Arabidopsis thaliana: one gene and its partners. The protein of the gene in region 2 interacts with the protein of the main gene of each other region in a pairwise test. Each region holds a gene or a part of one and is shown on either strand. Other genes may lie near its edges. The genes, in order: AT4G01090, AT2G32840, PUB14 and AT2G47710.

The links.
Region 1: the proteins of AT2G32840 (region 2) and AT4G01090 interact in a two-hybrid assay, tested with the Arabidopsis thaliana proteins (one large-scale study listed by BioGRID).
Region 3: the proteins of AT2G32840 (region 2) and PUB14 interact in a two-hybrid assay, tested with the Arabidopsis thaliana proteins (one large-scale study listed by BioGRID).
Region 4: the proteins of AT2G32840 (region 2) and AT2G47710 interact in a two-hybrid assay, tested with the Arabidopsis thaliana proteins (one large-scale study listed by BioGRID).

Annotation. Positions count from the first base shown.
Region 1 is NC_003075.7:469,979-475,514, reverse strand, and holds AT4G01090 (hypothetical protein (DUF3133)), read left to right. Parts: upstream 1-1,635; 5' UTR 1,636-2,114; intron 2,115-2,227; 5' UTR 2,228-2,266; coding exon 2,267-4,068; intron 4,069-4,155; coding exon 4,156-4,216; intron 4,217-4,309; coding exon 4,310-4,533; intron 4,534-4,623; coding exon 4,624-4,681; 3' UTR 4,682-5,009; downstream 5,010-5,536.
Region 2 is NC_003071.7:13,932,286-13,936,827, reverse strand, and holds AT2G32840 (proline-rich family protein), read left to right. Parts: upstream 1-1,878; 5' UTR 1,879-1,991; coding exon 1,992-2,546; intron 2,547-2,789; coding exon 2,790-2,842; intron 2,843-2,932; coding exon 2,933-2,972; intron 2,973-3,069; coding exon 3,070-3,147; intron 3,148-3,250; coding exon 3,251-3,364; coding exon of another isoform or gene 3,365-3,400; exon of another isoform or gene 3,401-3,457; coding exon 3,458-3,537; intron 3,538-3,633; coding exon 3,634-3,727; 3' UTR 3,728-3,989; downstream 3,990-4,542. Other genes in the region: AT2G32850 (Protein kinase superfamily protein), read left to right, coding at 61-154, 233-897, 994-1,380.
Region 3 is NC_003074.8:20,319,637-20,324,522, forward strand, and holds PUB14 (plant U-box 14), read left to right. Parts: upstream 1-1,716; 5' UTR 1,717-1,887; coding exon 1,888-2,169; intron 2,170-2,415; coding exon 2,416-2,532; intron 2,533-2,620; coding exon 2,621-3,034; intron 3,035-3,126; coding exon 3,127-4,212; 3' UTR 4,213-4,384; downstream 4,385-4,886. Other genes in the region: ARA6 (Ras-related small GTP-binding family protein), read left to right, coding at 1-58, 155-260, 574-663, 768-854, 1,105-1,146; ATVPS33 (Sec1/munc18-like (SM) proteins superfamily), read right to left, coding at 4,650-4,739, 4,832-4,886. UniProt on the Arabidopsis thaliana protein: Functions as an E3 ubiquitin ligase with specific E2 ubiquitin-conjugating enzymes. Undergoes auto-ubiquitination.
Region 4 is NC_003071.7:19,554,223-19,557,838, reverse strand, and holds AT2G47710 (Adenine nucleotide alpha hydrolases-like superfamily protein), read left to right. Parts: upstream 1-1,712; 5' UTR 1,713-1,882; coding exon 1,883-2,066; intron 2,067-2,168; coding exon 2,169-2,263; intron 2,264-2,500; coding exon 2,501-2,622; intron 2,623-2,706; coding exon 2,707-2,794; 3' UTR 2,795-3,115; downstream 3,116-3,616. Other genes in the region: AT2G47720 (uncharacterized protein), read right to left, coding at 700-791, 1,089-1,215; RFI2 (RING/U-box superfamily protein), read left to right, coding at 3,488-3,616.

The DNA of each region.
Region 1 (5,536 bases), on a different chromosome or scaffold from region 2:
TGTTAATATTTTTGTCAAATCTGATTGGTGTTGGAAAGTGGACTATCTATAAATCCATCTTTAAATGATAGACAGAGACACAGAGTAGAAGACTTTACAGCTGTACGTAGCTTTTTGTATAAACCACAAAAATAGTCAGAAGGCGACCTACACTATGTGATCATATAACACTCCCCATATATCTTTCAAGTCTTCGTTTACGAGGTTAATATTTTTCAACGTTTAGGATCCAGGTTTCTTTTAGATTCAAGTTGTGAATTAGAAAACAAACAAAAGAAGAAGTTTTGAGAGCACGTCTTCTAACATGGAAGCATTAAACTTGACGTATTTTTATGGACTATATTAATCGATATGCTGGGAGGATGATGAAAAAATAAAGAATTTATATATAAATATTAGTTATTTAGGTAAGTATGAAAGATAAATAATATATAAACCAAAAAATTTTTTTTAAAAAAATTAATTACAAAAATGCTATTGAATAAAAATAATTGTAATATTCGGATGATAAGTATATAATTATTTGTTTAATGTTTTAAAAACTATGATATCGCGATAAGTTTATAAATTATTTGTTAAAACATATTTATCGATTTAAAATTGTAAATCAGAATTTTTTATTTATGTATATTCAGCACAATAAAAGGAAATTAGACTTTTTTATATAATTAACATGATAATAATTATAACTACATGATATATAGAATGATAACATGCTAATATATTATATAACAGAATAATATTTATATGAAAACGTTAAGATATTCGATACATGAATAATGTTTACTGTAACGGATAATTTATACATAATATTTACTAATAATTGTTAACGAGGTTAACCTGATGATAACAATGAAAATATTTAGTAACAAAACAATATATGAGACTTTAATTAAAAAAAAGAAAAATACAGAAGAATAATAAAGTAACTTCATTAGTTCTTTTACTGTTGAAATAGTCCACAATTCCTACACCTAATTTTTCAGTCTTCTGAGCATATAAAGTGATATTTTCCTATTTTTATTTACTTTTTAATTGTATTATAATAATATTTGGGTATTTTTGGTTATTATAATAATATCTGAAAATATTATTGATATTTTTGGTTATTTTTATATTTTTACTAAAACAACCGAACCGATCCGAATCCGAACCAAAATCGAACCAAGTTTTTAGAATATCTGAATGGTTCTCAACCTCTTCATATCCGAATAGATTTGATATCCAAAAAAGAACCAAACAGATAGGGATACCCGAATGACCAGACCTAGTATTATTGATATAAAAAAGGTTGCTCAATGTATAATTTCATTTGACTAGCTGGTCTGTTTTCGTACAAACACACTCACAAAAGTACGAAAATAGGAAGTCGTCTTAGTTTTAGAAAATAACTATTGCTGCTTATTGGCATATATTGAAAAATCAAATACTACTAGTAATCGTAAGTTCTAAATTTGAATGTTTTTTTCCCGAGTAATTGAATTGTTCTTAGTAATTAAGTTCACAAATTTGGAAAATTGCGATATCTGAGAACGTATTAATTTACCTGTCGGTAAACAGTCACACTCATGTTTCTAGATTTCGTATATTTTAGTAATAATTTGGTTAGTCTCCTTATCTGCGAGTCAACGAGACCCGGTCCGCTCAACCGTACTACAGTCTAAATTCTAGTTTCACGCGCTTACTTACATTACATACGCGCTCATCTCTTCTTTACTCAAAAGTTTTAAAAAACGAATATCAAATCAACGCTAACAAAGTTTGATTTTTTGCTTCCATCTTCTTCCCCTCCTTAAGTTTTCAAATCTATTCATCAAATTTTCTTTTGTCTTTCCCTTAAGATTCCCGGGAAAGCCAAGGAAAAACGCTAGAAGAAAATTAACATAATAATGTTAATTGTTGCTTAAACCTTCCAGCTCAAGTTTGGTAGTAAGTAAGCAGACATTTAATCCCCCAAGAAGCAATTGAAGAAGACTTTTAATTCTTCTGAATTTTCTTTCCAAAAACCCCTTTTTAGAAAATTGGTTGCATCATAGAGATTGGTTCATTTATTCCCACCGGAGAAGATCATCAAATTCGTCTTCTCACCTATATCGCCGACGACATTCTTCACGGTTCGTTTGATTTCTACCTGTTGGTTCTTCGTTTTATCTGAATTCAATCGGAGATATATGTTTTTGAGTTCGAATTTGATAAAAAATCGAAACTTTTTTGATTTGAATCGCAGTTGGAAAAAAACAAAGCAAAACCCTAGAAATAGTGGCTGATGAGGTCGCGAGGCGATGTCTCTGAAGCAGAAGGTACGAGATCAGATGCTGGTTCTTCAAGAAGCGAAGAAGAAACGAGTCTGAAGGAGAAACACTCAAATTCGCGAGCTGGGTCTCAAAGATCTGGAAAAAGCTTGAGAAATGACGAGCCTAATTACGGATCAGATTCTTCATCTAAGAACACAAGCAGCAGCAACAACCCTATTGAGTATACAGAGCATGAACGAGCTGAGCTTTTAAGAAGGTTAGATTCTATCAAAGATCATCTACTTCGCGGTGGTGGTGGTGGTAATAATGTAGTTGATAAACCTAAAGAACCAGATCAGAATCAGCCTTTCCTTAGACCAGTTCATCTTCATGGTCATGCTAATCATAATCCTGGTCCTTCTTATTACCATCAGTATCCAGAACCTATTCAATACCCTGGACCGGTTCATGGAATGTATCCTCAAGCTTATCAAGATCCTTATGGGTACCAAAGAAGACCACCTCCAGTTCCTAATCCAAACTGGTATCCTCCTGGTCATTACCCTAATCAGATGGCTCGTCAGTATCCTGGAGGTCAATATGTTGAACTTGGTCCTGATATAGTTGAGCCACATTCTTACTATCCAGCTACTCCTGGTAGGTACGGTGACCTGCCTCCGTATAGCCCGGTTTCGTCTCACCATCGTGAAGAGAAACTCGCTACACAGTACAGTGATATGCCTCCGTATAGCCCGGTTTCGTCTCACCATCGTGGCGAGAAACTCACGACACCGTATAGTCCACGTGTTAATAACGGTTCGAGTTTTCCTTCTTCGATGGGCACTCCAGGTCCTCGAGGTGGTTATGCAAGGTGGCCGAGTGAACATGATTCTGAAATGGGCGGTGCTTTTGCTCGTGGGTATGTTAAGAAAGCTGTATCGGATACTGGTGTTCGACGTTGTCATCCTCTTGCTGGTGGTGCTCCTTTTATAGCTTGTCATAGTTGCTTTGAGCTGCTTTACTTGCCTAAGAAGAAGCTTTTGTCTCAGGAAAGGTTACATAAGCTGCAGTGCGGTGCTTGTTCTGAAGTTATTAGTTTCACAATCGTTGATAGGAAACTCGTTTTCTCTTCTGGTAATGAGGAAACAAAACCGGTCTCTCTAGAGGTTGAAGATAGAAACACAACAAACACAGTAGTGATAGAGGAGGAAGTCTCTTCTGTTGATTTCAACAGCTCAGGTAGAGATATTCCACGTAAGGATGAAGAAGAACCAGTGCAAGAACTGAGAAATCATCAGGATACTATTACTACGCAAAGCGTCCGCTCTGAATCTCAACACTCAGATGATGAAGAAAGATCGAGCAATTCTAGTGAACAACAACAGAAGGAGGTCAAATCTGTTCGTCGGCGAGGTAAAGGGTCAAAAGCACCTGAACCCGCTGCTCCTGATAATGCCAGTCTCCTTGAACTTTTTGAGTATTCTAATGTAAACAGAGCTGCACTCGCTTATGGAATGGCGCAGTTAGGTTATGAAAAGCCAGATAAGCAAAAGTCTTTCATGACACAGGACTCGCTGAAACCAGAATCAGTAGCTACAGAGACAGAGGTTTCTTACAATGGATACTCTAACACCGAGATCTCAGAAGATTCAAGGTACTCAAACAGAAAGGGTAGTGAGTACGGTTCGACAGAGATCACAACGAGGTCCTCTACTGATCAAAACGAAGACCAGATGAAGTCATTAGAGGTTTGGGTTAATGGACATCTTATACCAGAAGATCTTGTTAGCAGTGCTGAGAAATTAGCTGGACCAATCCAAGCTGGAAAGTATTGGTACTTCCATGAACTTCAGCATCCACTGTTTCTCTCTTGTTTTTGTTTTTCCCTTTACTCAGTTTCTGATACATGTCTCTGATTCAGGTATGATTACCGAGCTGGGTTCTGGGGAGTGATGGGCAAACCGTGTCTCGGTATAATACCTGTAAGTACCTTCACATTGTTCTCTCAAGTTGATTATTGGAATGGTGTCATCAAATTGATGAAGAAATGGTTGACTTACTTGTTGTTGTTGCAGCCATTTATTGAAGAGTTTAGCCATCCAATGCTGGATAACTGCGCTGCAGGAAACACAGACGTGTTTGTGAATGGAAGAGAGCTTCACAAGAGAGATTTCGAGTTACTTGTGGGTCGTGGTCTGCCTAGAGACAAGAACCGTTCTTACATTGTTGATATATCAGGAAGAATCCTTGATCAAGATTCAGGAGAAGAACTTCACAGCCTTGGCAAATTAGCCCCAACGTAAGCAGATTCACACAAATGATTTTTATTCTTTTGAGATTTTGAGATCACCTAAGATTCTAAAGTTTTAGTGTGTTAAACTTGAAACAGGATTGAGAAAGTGAAGCATGGATTTGGTATGAGAGTTCCAAGATCATTAGCTTCATGAAAACTCCCCCTAGTAACAACTACACAACCAAAATATGATTCTGCTTCTTGTTTCCATCTTCATATTATTTATTTGTTAAACACAACTGTAAAGTGTTTTTTACATCTTGATTTTGATTTTTGGTATTCTTTTTAAAATATCTTTGGGGAAATGTCTGTATGTTTTTTATTGCGACCAGAACCGGTTTAGGGGTTATAGACTGTATACAAACCGGGTTCTCTCGGTACAAGGTTTGTGCTTTGTATTATTTCCATTTTTTTATGGAATGATATTAGTTTGCTCTTAATGACTTTTTTTTTTATCTCTTTTATTGCTCTTTTGTAAGTTGTAACAGAAGCTTCATCGATAACATGGTTTACTCCTCCTAATTCCTTATTATCTCTGGTTTAACTAAATCGTTTATTTAAACCGGTTTTGGTTTGTAGGTTTCTTTCATGTCAGCAACAATATATGTAGGTCATTCGACCATACTCAACAATTCAATTAAACAATGTTCTCCTAGCTGATCTTTCTTTCTTCATGATTAGCTTCTAGGCTTGATTTGCCCTTTCCTCGAGTTCTAGGTGAATTATGGATTGGGATTATCTATCTATCGGTTAGTTATCCGGTTTCATCTTTCTTTCCACTAAAATGTTCATATTGTCTGCTAATTCCTCTCTTGGCTGATGGACTAGTTTTTGCACGTTTCTGAAGTGGGTCCTTCCTAAAATACAAGACAACAGATTATAACTTACTCATGGGCCCAATATCAATATCAATATCAAACAAGAAAGAGAATCTGTTCTTAACAGGCCTCGTGGTCCGTTCGTTTAGTTTTCATGTTTCAATATTTCTTAGAAAAATACAAAATTAGAG
Region 2 (4,542 bases):
TCATTGTTTCTTCTCAGTTGAGGAAATGTAAAATGTCTCTAACAACATGTCCATCTACAGATTTGGTTTCGTGTCAATGAGCAGCTTCCTGCTAATTTACAGAAATCATTACCGGATCGACCACCTGAAATGCAATCTACTGGAGTCCATGATGGTATAGTGAATAAAACCTATTTTGGATAGCTTCTCAAAGAAAGATGTGATTTCTTTTGATCCTTATGAATTTTGACAGGCTCATCAAAATCAGCAACTAAACCTTCTCCAGCACCTCGTAGAAGTCCGCCACCGCCGCCACCATCTTCTGGAGAATCAGATAGTGGAGGACCGCTCGGTGCCTTTTGGGCGACTCAGCATGCTAAAACCTCAGTTGTATCAGAAGATAACAAAAACATGCCTAAATTTGATGAACCAAACAGTAACACATCTAAATCTGAAAGAGTTCGTGTGGATAGTCATCAACCCAAAAAACCAAGTCCTGTGAGAGGAGAGGCTCGTGGTATTCAAAGAAATAAAGATCTTGAAACTACGATTTCTCAGAAGAATACAACTCCTGCTGCAGCCAATAACATGACAAGAGTGTCCAAGGATGATGCCTTCAACTCGTTTGTTGCTGACTTTGATACCACAAAGTTCGATAATGGTAATAAACCTGGCAAAGAAGAGGCATTGGAAGCTGAGATACAGAGGTTAAAAGACGAGTTGAAGCAAACAAAATCAGAGAAGGCAGAAATAACTGCTAAGTTTGAAAAGCTTTCTGCTATCTGCAGATCGCAAAGGCAAGAGTTGCAGGATCTCAAACAAACACTTGCCTCTAAAAGTGCCTCACCGTCACCGAGCAGAGACTCTTCACAAAATCAACCCTCTCCAGGGATGCATTCCATGTCATCAACTCCATCGGTATTATTCTTGGTTCTTGTTCATCTAAGCTTAGACACCCATACAAAAGTCTTCATCAATGTATATCTTAGAATTCTAATGTTCTTGATGAAACAGAGAGATAAGATGGAAGGAACAATGTGGGAACTTCAACAGGACAGATCTAACTGGTCAACTGGCAGCTCTGATACAAATTCATGGCAACCTTTTAGTGATGAAGCGAAACCCGTGATGGAATCTGCATCAAAGGGTAACAATAATACGATTAATCAGTCTGTGAGAACCAGAAGTAAACCAGCTTCTGCTGCAGGTACTCAAGGTTTTGAGCCATGGGGTTTCGAGACAGAATCCTTTAGAGCCGCTGCAACGTCTGCAGCTGCTACTTCTGCATCTGGAACACAAAGATCTATGGGCTCTGGAAACAGCACTTCACAGAGATATGGGAACTCAAAGATGAGAGAAAACCAGAAAACAGCTCAACCTGCTGGATGGGCCGGCTTCTAAAACTCACTCAGATGCGCATTGCTATTTCTTCCTCATGCAACAACAACAGCTTCATGTTGCTGCCATTACAGAATCTTGAATCTTTTTGTAGATGATGATCATCCCCTGTTTTTGTGCTGCTGCTAAATATACCCCACCCATATCCATTATGTTTTATGTAGAGTCTTAAACTTTACACATTCTCTGAGCTGTGGCCAGATATCTCAGCTTATGGATTATTATTGGAAAAATAAATAATTCAAGATTCAGACAGCTTACACTTCTTTCTGTGAAACTTAGAACTAAGGTCACATTTAATACCGAACCCAACCATACGATGGCTGCATTATGGTTTAAATGTTACCCAAAAAGATTTCAGCCGTAACTAAATCAGCATTTTAAAATCCTGGATTAATTTTCGTTAATGTAAATCTCACATTGAACCGGACCCGAGTAGAAAAAAGTAAAAAACCGAACCAAAACATTAAATACCGAGCCCTAGTTTAGTTAGTTAGAAGGAACTTAAAAAGAGTTCGTGTCCTGAAAATCAAAGAAAAAGCTACCAAATTTTGAATCGTTGTCTTTAACTTGATTTTCCCCAAATTTCTCAGAAATCAAAATCCGCCGGAACAATGTCTACTCCCGATCCCAATCCCAATCCAAATCCAAATCCTTCCGTCTCTGTAGCAGTATCGACTCCAATCGTCACCGCATCTGAATCTCCGGTGACACAACCTAACACAGTCATAACGCCGTCGTCTCAACCTCAACCTCAAACACCAGCTTCGTCGTACAGAGCCATAGCTCCGCTTCATCGTCATCATCCTCATCAAAATATCTACACTAACCCTTTACCGATTAGGCGTTCGAATTCCGTTACTAATTCGCCTCATCAGCCTCCTCACCCAGACCCGTCTAGTCTGATATACCCGTTTGGTTCTTCGGGTCGAGGGTTTCCGACCCGACCCGTTAGACAGAATTCCAATTCCGTCGCTGATCCAGTTGGTAGTCCTAGTCCAGGTGGGTATACTCCTCGAGGGCCAGTTTACGGATACCACCATGGCCAATTCGTGTCGAATTTGGATCCAATGAATCAGTTCATGAGAGCTGCACATCCTCAGAATCAACAATCTCCTCAACTTGGTTCCGGTCATATGAAAGGAGTTCCTCATTTTTTGCAACCTCGGGTTAGTTATCGTTTTCGTTACCAAAACAAGTTTGAATCTTTTTGTTTAATTCCATAGTTTTGTCAAGTGTTTTTTTTGTAGCTTGTGCTAGTTAGTGAAAATGTGTATGTTGAAGTGAAGATTATTTGCTTTGGTGATTGTAGAATTCGAATAGCAATCTCTAATGAATTAGGAAAGGTTGAAACTTCTGTTAGATATTTGTGTGAGGTTACATTTTGTAAATTTTGGATTTTTGATTGTTAGGCTACTCCTTCTCCAACTTCAATTCTAGACAACAGTGGGCATAAGAAGGCCAGGTACTTTATCTTCTTTGCCATTATGCTTTGTTAATTAGAAACTACTCTAGAAACTTAATAATGTCTCTGTTTCGTTTCCATGGTGTTTAGGAGCCGGGATGATGCTCTGGTCCTCGTTAGAAAAAGAAAGGTATAGTTTTATCCTTGTTTTTTGGTTTTGCATTATCGTTCGAAACCGCTTGCTTCGCCATTTGAGGAATTTTAAATACTTTTTATTTGTTCTGCAGGTTAGAATAACCGAGGGAGCTTCTTTATACTCGCTGTGTCGATCTTGGTTGAGAAATGGTGCTCATGAGGGAATTAAGGTTCGTATCCATTTCTTATTTCTGCTTTGTAGTATAATGCAACACTTGGATTTTTGTATATCTATTCTTGATATCTTTGGAAGATTAATGACGTTGTTTACAGCCGCAGCGAATTGATATGATGACATGTTTGCCAAAGCCTTTACCTGTGGACAAGACGGAGACAAGTTTGCCAAAAGATTTAGTTGAAGAAGCAATTTGCGAAGAAGACAAAGAGGTTTCGTGTTTCTCTGATTTCTTTCTAAAATGGTAATTGTGAAGGGTAAAGCTAAGTTTGATTATTTACTTCAACTCTCTTGATGAGCTTCAGGACGAGGAATCTGTGAAACATTTGTCAGAATCTGATCTTTTGAAAAGACATATAGACCGAGCTAAGAAGGTCCGCGCTCGGTGAGTCCCACAACATATCATCAAAGCTAAGTTCGATGGTTGAAGATTGAATATTTTTTGTTTTGAACAAAATTGTGTGGTTTGTTTTGTTTGCAGATTGAGAGAAGAACGGTTAAAGAGAATCGCGAGGTACAAGGCAAGATTGGCTCTTCTTCTGCCACCCTTTGGAGAGCAATGCAGGAACGAGTAATGATTTTAAAGTTAGGGACTTCGGTGTGAATATACTTGCAGTTGATTTAGAAATGACATAAATTATCTTAGAGCCAGAGTTATGTCTTATGTCTGTGTGTAATATAAGAAAGATTTTCTCTGAATTTTCGTCATACACTCGTATTAGATGATTCTAAACTAATCAACAATCTCAAGATTTTCTGAGATGGTTAACTTATATAGCTCTTATCTTTTTTTTTTTTCAAGAACACCTAGTAGTTCTTGGACAAGTAAAATTTTCAATATAGTATTCGGTCATGGTGGGTCGACCATGTTTTGAACGCTGGATCGATCATCATGTGGTCGGACGATCATAATTTCAGAGATTGATCGACCATCCTTGGAAGCACGAACACATTTAGTCATGTGTTTGAATTTTCTTTTATCTTATTTGTTTCCAACTCCCAAATGATACGAAATGTCACAAAAACTCTTAAAATCACTACATAATCTAAGACTTCCTAAGACACAAATACTCCTATGGACATTAAAACAAGATTTTATCAACAGTGAAGCCATATTATCATCACTGTAGTTCTGAAAATGCCATATTGCCCAAAGTCTTTTCTAGCTAGTATGCCATAGTGGCTAACATCTTCTTCTTTCTTTTCATCTCTCTAAATAAGCAAAAAATTGAGAGGCTTTCTCTTCCTCTTCTATTCCTCTCCAACATAGTATTCATTCTCTCCTCATCTCATCTCTTGTTTCTTTTCAGCCGGAGCTTGTGCCGATGGTTCTACGTCGATCTCACTCTCTCAACGACGAAGAAAACATCCCCCAAAGCCTCCTTCTATG
Region 3 (4,886 bases), on a different chromosome or scaffold from region 2:
CATTGCAAGACTCTACCACAGTGAAGTTTGAAATATGGGATACAGCAGGACAGGAGAGGTATTAAACCCTTCATGCAGATTTGTATTGCTTATTTTATTAGATAAACGCTTTGCAAACTTACTAGGATTTAACCTGCATTCACTTTATTTTTAGGTATTCTGCTCTTGCACCACTATACTACCGTGGAGCTGGAGTTGCTGTTATTGTGTATGATATAACAAGCCCTGAATCGTTCAAGAAAGCACAGTATTGGGTTAAGGTATGTTTTCAGGGGGTTCAAAAGGTTCCATTTCGTTCATGTTTCTAGGATTCGTGCAATAGCTTCCGAGCTATATCTTTACCAGGACTGAAAATTAGAGTTACAGACAGTCATATAGCCAACAGCACTCCTGTCTGTGTATATAATGGGTATCATTTAGTTGGGCAACTGGTTTACTTCTCTGACATTTTTGTTCCATTAATTTGCACTCGTTGCTACCATGAAGCCATTTGGCACAACTCCGTGCAGGAAAGATATCAACATTATATTGAATCTAGTGCTATTGTTTTACCCCTGCCCATAAATCTAACAGGAACTGCAAAAGCATGGAAGCCCAGATATTGTTATGGCTCTGGTTGGTAACAAAGCTGATCTACATGAAAAAAGAGAAGTACCTACTGAGGTGAGTTTGCGTAAACGTCTTCATCTAGATTCCGTAGCGCATTTTGTTGTCACTTTCATTGTCCTTGCTTCTTCAGTGGTATCACATTTTCAATTTCTTAACAGGATGGAATGGAGCTTGCAGAGAAGAACGGCATGTTCTTCATTGAGACGTCAGCCAAGACAGCCGATAACATAAATCAACTGTTTGAGGTGTGCACTTCTTTCTTGCCTCTGATTTATGATCGATTTTCTTGTCCTCTGCATTTATTGAGATCTTATTATCCGTTTCTTTCATTGCTTTGGAATTGGAGGATGGAAAAGTGATAGGCAGTGATATGCAGCTAGATATGAGATTTAATTTCTTGTAGTTTGTGGAGGATAATAGTTTTGGATGCAGAAAGATGGATTAATACGAAGTATATGAGATTTTAACTTGTTGTAGTGTACACATGTCTGATAGGAAATTGGCAAGAGGCTACCTCGTCCTGCTCCTTCGTCATGATTGGAGTGTTGAATCATCTCATCTTCAGCCATGTCTTCAGACTACTAATCTTTCCATACTTTTTAATGTAATGTTTCAAAACAATATTTCTCTATCTGTTAAGTCAAGTGTGTTGTATAATGTGAAGATTTGAGTTTGAAACTGGGGATATTACGAACCTCAAAAGTGGAAACCCAAGTTATATCAAGCAATGGATCATCAGTACATATTTTAGTGGGATTCATCAGAAGTAGAGAAGAGTAAAGCTTCATTCAAATGATTCAATGCATGTATAGTTTGTGGGAGAGACTATTGCAGCCAATTCTAACAAAACCTAAATCAAGAAATTATTTGACAATTTCAAAGAGACTAACAAACAGGTAGAGAAATCCATTATACAAAGGATTTGACTTTTGATGATTTCAGATGCAAATACAAACTTAAAAACTTTATATATTTGTATTGGTCAACCTTAATATCATAAATTTATAGTTGAGGCAATAAATAAATATGAAAATCTAAATGCAATGTTTAAATATTAAAATTTAACGGCAAAATAAAATAGAAAAAATTATGATTGGTCTGAAAATGGACAAAATGAGACTTTTCATGTCCAAATAGGTGTTTATTGTCACGTTGATGAGAAGACTATTTCGTTCCATAGCATTTCTGTTCCTCCTCTTGGTTTTTTGGGTTTCTTCTTCCTCGTCTTGGTTTCGTTAAAACCCTTTTGAAGCCCTCTGGAACAGTAAAATCTGAGGGATGGGATTAACGAATTGTTGTTCCCACGAGGAGCTAATGAGTCGACTCGTTGACTCCGTTAAAGAAATATCAGGGTTTTCATCTTCAAGGGGTTTTATTGGGAAGATCCAAGGCGATCTTGTTCGTAGGATCACGCTTCTCAGCCCTTTCTTCGAGGAATTGATTGACGTCAATGTTGAATTGAAAAAGGATCAGATTACAGGGTTTGAGGCTATGAGAATCGCTCTTGATTCAAGTCTTGAGCTTTTTCGATCGGTTAATGGAGGAAGCAAGCTTTTTCAGGTTACTCATTTACTTGCTCTGTTTTATTTGTATTTATATCTTTGGTAGCTGGCAAAAGTTGGCAATTTCCTTTGTTTTCTCTTCGAGGGTTTAAGATTTTGGTGTTTAGGGTTTTGTTGTTTGTCTTTGTCTTCTTTAACAATATCAAGAATTTGGGTTTTGTCTTGTTTCTCTTATTTTGGGATGAATCAAATTGAGTCTGATAACAAGAAGTTGAGACCTTTTTCGTGTTCTCTCTGCTGGCAGCTTTTCGATAGAGATTCTCTTGTGGAGAAGTTCCGTGACATGACAGTGGAGATAGAAGCAGCGTTAAGTCAGATTCCTTATGAGAAGATTGAGGTATCAGAGGAAGTCAGAGAACAGGTACTTCTCAATGCATTGATTTAAGGAGGGCTATATTTTTCTGTTGATTAAAATCTGAATTCTAATGATAAGCTCTCTGAATTTGTAGGTTCAGCTTCTGCATTTTCAGTTCAAGAGAGCAAAAGAAAGATGGGAGGAGTCTGATCTACAGCTTAGCCATGATCTAGCTATGGCAGAGAATGTGATGGATCCTGACCCTATAATCCTCAAAAGACTTTCACAAGAGCTCCAACTTACTACCATTGATGAGCTGAAGAAAGAATCGCATGCGATACATGAGTATTTTCTTTCATATGATGGAGATCCTGATGACTGTTTCGAGAGGATGTCTTCACTTCTTAAAAACCTGGTAGACTTTGTAACAATGGAAAGTTCAGACCCTGATCCATCCACTGGCAGCAGAATCGTTTCGAGACATCGTTCTCCTGTTATACCAGAGTATTTTCGGTGTCCGATATCACTTGAACTGATGAAGGATCCTGTTATCGTCTCCACTGGACAGGTCTGGCTTTGCAAGTTTCGTTGTGCATTGTAGTGAATTTGATTATTAAACTTGTGTATTTGTTGTTATAGCTGAATTTTTCGACCTTGCAGACATATGAAAGATCATCAATTCAGAAGTGGCTTGATGCTGGTCATAAAACATGTCCGAAATCTCAGGAGACACTTTTACATGCTGGATTAACCCCTAATTATGTGTTAAAGAGTCTCATTGCTTTGTGGTGTGAAAGCAACGGCATTGAGCTACCGCAAAATCAAGGGAGCTGTAGAACCACAAAAATAGGAGGAAGCAGCTCTTCAGATTGTGATCGAACATTTGTCCTTTCCTTGTTAGAGAAATTGGCCAACGGTACTACAGAACAGCAAAGAGCTGCAGCTGGAGAATTAAGGTTACTAGCCAAGAGGAACGTGGATAACAGAGTTTGTATCGCTGAGGCTGGAGCCATACCACTCCTTGTAGAGCTTCTATCCTCACCAGATCCTCGGACTCAGGAACATTCTGTGACAGCTCTTCTGAATCTTTCCATAAATGAAGGGAACAAAGGAGCCATTGTTGATGCAGGAGCCATAACGGATATAGTAGAAGTCCTAAAGAACGGAAGCATGGAAGCTAGAGAGAACGCTGCTGCAACCCTTTTCAGTTTATCTGTTATAGATGAAAACAAAGTGGCAATAGGTGCTGCTGGAGCTATCCAAGCACTTATAAGCTTGCTTGAGGAAGGAACCCGAAGAGGCAAAAAAGATGCTGCTACAGCGATTTTCAACTTATGCATATACCAGGGGAACAAATCAAGGGCGGTTAAAGGCGGTATTGTTGACCCTCTGACCAGATTACTGAAAGATGCAGGTGGCGGAATGGTGGATGAGGCTCTGGCCATTTTAGCAATTCTTTCAACTAACCAAGAAGGGAAAACAGCGATAGCTGAAGCAGAATCTATCCCGGTTTTGGTTGAGATTATAAGGACAGGGTCACCAAGGAACCGGGAAAATGCTGCAGCAATACTTTGGTATCTATGTATTGGGAATATAGAAAGGCTAAATGTAGCAAGAGAGGTTGGTGCAGATGTGGCCTTGAAGGAACTTACTGAGAATGGCACTGATAGAGCAAAGAGGAAAGCTGCGAGCTTGTTGGAGCTTATTCAGCAAACCGAAGGTGTTGCAGTAACTACTGTTCCATGAAAGCCTCGCTCTTTTGGAATGTTATTTGTTTCAGTGTAGATTATATGTATAGGAACCTTTGGTTTGAGTCTGACATAAGAATCTTATGTAATGATGTTATATGTAATTTTCGACTCAGAGTTGTGTATATCTATTTGATATTTAAAAGTAAAAGTAACCCTATTATTTACTGTTTCACACTCTCGATTTGCTTGAGAATTAGGGAGAAGTAAAGCCGTATATAACTAGCAGAAGTTGAAGTGAAAGGTTGTACCAAGAAAACATTATTGAATTTGTATAATCACGCTGTATCTCAACCATTTAATATACACATACACATACGCATACCATTCACTCTGCAACCACAATGATCCAGAAAAATAAACAAAGACATACAAAAAATGAATTAATAAACACACTCGAAAGAGAAAAGATGAACATAACGCTCAGTTTACGGATCAGCCTAGTTTTTCCATGAATGTTTCTATCAACGTTGCGCCGTTGACGATTTTTGTTGTGGCAACAATCAAATCATAAGCCATTCCTTCCTGATAAAATTTTATGCAGAAGCAAGAATGGAGGATTCAGCGGACAAAAAGAGTGTTTTTTTTATGGTAAACTTTTGAAGTTTGATATATACCTTAGAGGCGAGATACCGTAAAGCAGAGATTTCAGCAAATGTTACACCTCCAATG
Region 4 (3,616 bases), 5.6 Mb from region 2:
TCAACCTCTCCTAGAAACGAATCTCATCTTTCCTGAGACGACGACTCAAAAGAAAAGACTTTTTACGTGTAAACGTATCATTCGATATTAAACTACTCCCAAAACAAATAATTTAAGGACATGTACAGACAAAGCCCACCTGTTTTTATTAATTTTCTAAAACCCATAACACCTTTTGACCAACTAACTCTCAATCCAATTCAACAGGAGAAGAAGGATCAATAACAATAACAATAATCAATCCCCTTATGTTATAACTAAATCTAGTTGCTGGAAACAGAACCATCTCCCTCCTCATCAGATTTTTGCATTACCATCTACAATTTGGAAACAGTTATATGGTGATTATATACATGTCAAGAATTCAGAAACAAACACTTGAACTTTCATTATCACTCTCTTCATATGCAATTTTACTCTTGTAATGTTGACCTTTCTTTTTGTTGTTTTTTTCAGAAAAATATATATGCAAAATAGTATTCTCAATATGAGATCCAACGTAATTAACTAAATAATCATTAAGTGATTAGTGGTTCAACATTTACATATATACATACTCTCTCTTCTTGCCTCGAGATTGACCGACAATTCCATAACTAACCGGAAACCACATATGTTACCAAAGACACAAGCCTAAAATCCAGAATCTCAACAAGATTAATATATATAAAGGAAGTAAGAGAATGCTGACTTGTTGTTTCAAAACACAGAAGGCGGCTTCAGACAGTTATGATACTCGAGCTGAGACATCTCTCCTCCGTGTACTGGATCAAAACTGGCCTTTGTAGAAGCTGCAAAACACCCAAAAATCAAACAAAGCTGCTGATCCGACTTGTAGGACATTATTAAGGTTAGGGTATGGTTCTCTTACCTCCCATCCATCCCAAGAATCTGTGTTCTTCTCATGTCCAAATGCCACTATGTATTAAGATCCTTCGACCAACCGGAACTGAGCCACTGACAACTCTGAGCTGAAATACTTTGGTAACACTCCTATATGGACAAAGAGCAAGGTTTGATGATAGATAAGAATGATGACGTCTCAAAATGCTACGGAGAAACTGGTTTGGGGTTTAAGGTATATGTACCTCTGAGTAATGATAGAGATGATGACGGTGATAAAGCAGCATGAATTGCATCAGGTGCCTTTCGGGATGTGTCCTTCCCTGGAGATCCAGAATTGATTTTCAGACCGACAACATGAACAGTGGCCATGGGAATCTGAAGATTCTGGAGAAATCTGAAATCAGATAAAAAAAGGTAAAGAGTAGCGTCAAGACGAAGAAGAATATAACTAAAAGCAATTTGGTTAGAGAGGTTTCTGTCGCACTCCTGCTTTTGCTTCACGTCGTCATATTATTCTACAGCCGGCCGTCTCATTTTTATTTTGTAATTGTTATCATCTGAGCCGGATTTTACCCAACTCAAATCATTCCACTATTTGAAATTAGATTTTTCTTGTAATAGTTAATTTCCAAGTAAAATCGAAAGTTATCAAACCAATTCATATCAGTTTGTTACTAAAAAGCTAATAACTGTTAACCTGCAAAATCCTTTTATGTACTTTGTTTTATGGGTAATATTCAAATTAGAATAAATTTTGTGTAAAATCTGTGGGTTCTTCTTATTTAAAATCTGTGGGTAACTTTAAATATTGGGAAATTTACTAATGGAAAGGCATAAAGAAATGAGGACCAGCCACGTCATCAAATCAAAGTATCACATTCCTCTTTTCTTTTTATTTAAAGAAATTAAATAATAGAAGAAGAAGATACCAAAACTCTCTTTTTCTGTGCAAACACTTTGGAGGATTCTTCTAGGCTTCTTTCTACCACAAACACAAGAGCGCGTTTTCTTCACGCCGGCGAACAACGTCAGAGTCATGGCCACCGGAGATGGGAAATCGGTGATGGTCGTCGGAGTTGACGACAGCGAGCAGAGCACTTACGCCTTGGAGTGGACGCTCGATCGTTTCTTCGCTCCTTACGCTCCCAATTATCCTTTTAAGCTCTTCATCGTCCACGCCAAACCTAACGCCGTCTCCGCCGTTGGTCTCGCTGGTCCCGGTACGCTCTTTGCTTTCACTCTCGAATCTACTCTTCTAGGGGTTCTGTTTTGGGCAGCGATGGGGAGAGATCATTTAGGTTTTGTTAATCTGTGTGTTTTAGGAACTGCGGAGGTTGTACCTTATGTTGATGCTGATCTGAAGCATACCGCTGCTAAGGTTGTCGAGAAAGCCAAAGCAATTTGTCAGAGCAGATCGGTACGATCTTGCTATTATCAAACATTCAAATTCGTTTTATGTGTTTCTTGGATTTTATAATCGTCATCATGTGTTGTATTGGACTCTATTAGATGAGTTTGGTAATGTGAATGTGAATCTCTAGCACATTTAAGAGCTTCAAGCTAAGTAGCACTGGTTTTTCTTATAGTAACTATCTATCTTTGGTTAGCAACTATCTTCTTCTTTTCAATCATCATTCCTAGGTTTGTTGTGTAGGTTCATGGCGCGGTGATCGAAGTTTTCGAAGGTGATGCAAGGAATATCCTATGTGAAGTTGTAGATAAGCATCATGCTTCTATTCTTGTTGTGGGAAGCCATGGATATGGAGCTATCAAGAGGTATTATTTCATTCAGCCTTAATTCTTATGATCAATCTTTCAACTATACACCCATTCTGATTCACTTGTCGGTTTGTGTGGCAGGGCGGTTCTCGGGAGTACGAGTGACTACTGCGCTCATCATGCTCATTGCTCGGTGATGATCGTGAAGAAGCCTAAGATCAAGGTCTGAAACCTAAGGGAAGGCTACTCGGTCAAAGCAAAGTCTCTGCATAGTCTTCTAATTCAGAAGAATAAAGTGAAATAATATTAGCTTGATGTGAAACAACGATTCAAGACAATATACATTTGCATCTATATGTGTAATTGTTTACTACATACAATGTTTTGGTATCCTTAGACAATCAATATTCGTGTGTTATAATATGCTAATCTTTCTCATAACAAAATGGATGTGAAAGTTATAATAAACTTCATATGAAAGAGACTAGAGAAGAAAACAAATCAACTAAATAGAGATTAATGATTTAAATGAACAAATTTATAGTTTGGTTGTTGGTTCAGATGGATGGATGGTTTGATGATCATCTATCCAAAACTAAAGTAATAAAATAATAATAAAAAATTATCCACAATGGGAGAGGAAAGAAAAGAAAAGGGAGAGTCCAATGTCATTGTCCGGTTTTGAACCACGTCATCTCTAACAGGTCGGACGAGAGAGAGAGAGAGAGAGAGAGGAAGAGGAAGGATAGATTTACCGCATCGGCGTTCCAAAAGGCAGACGAACTCGGAGAGACAGATAGCGATAGCGAGACATGGTTTCTCATTGATTTTTGTTTGACAATCCTTTCTTTTCTTTTTTTTTGTTCTTTCGAAAAACGAAAATTTTCGTTGGTTCCCTCCGATTTGGCCTGCTGGTGAAGATATGGCCGGAGCTAAAGATTCGGGTTGCGATGATGATCTCCGAATTGCTGGTGGATGTGACCCTGGAAAACGCGGGAACCCGGAGGATTCCTCGTCTCCTGTCGAAGTCTCGTGCTCGATTTGCCTCGAA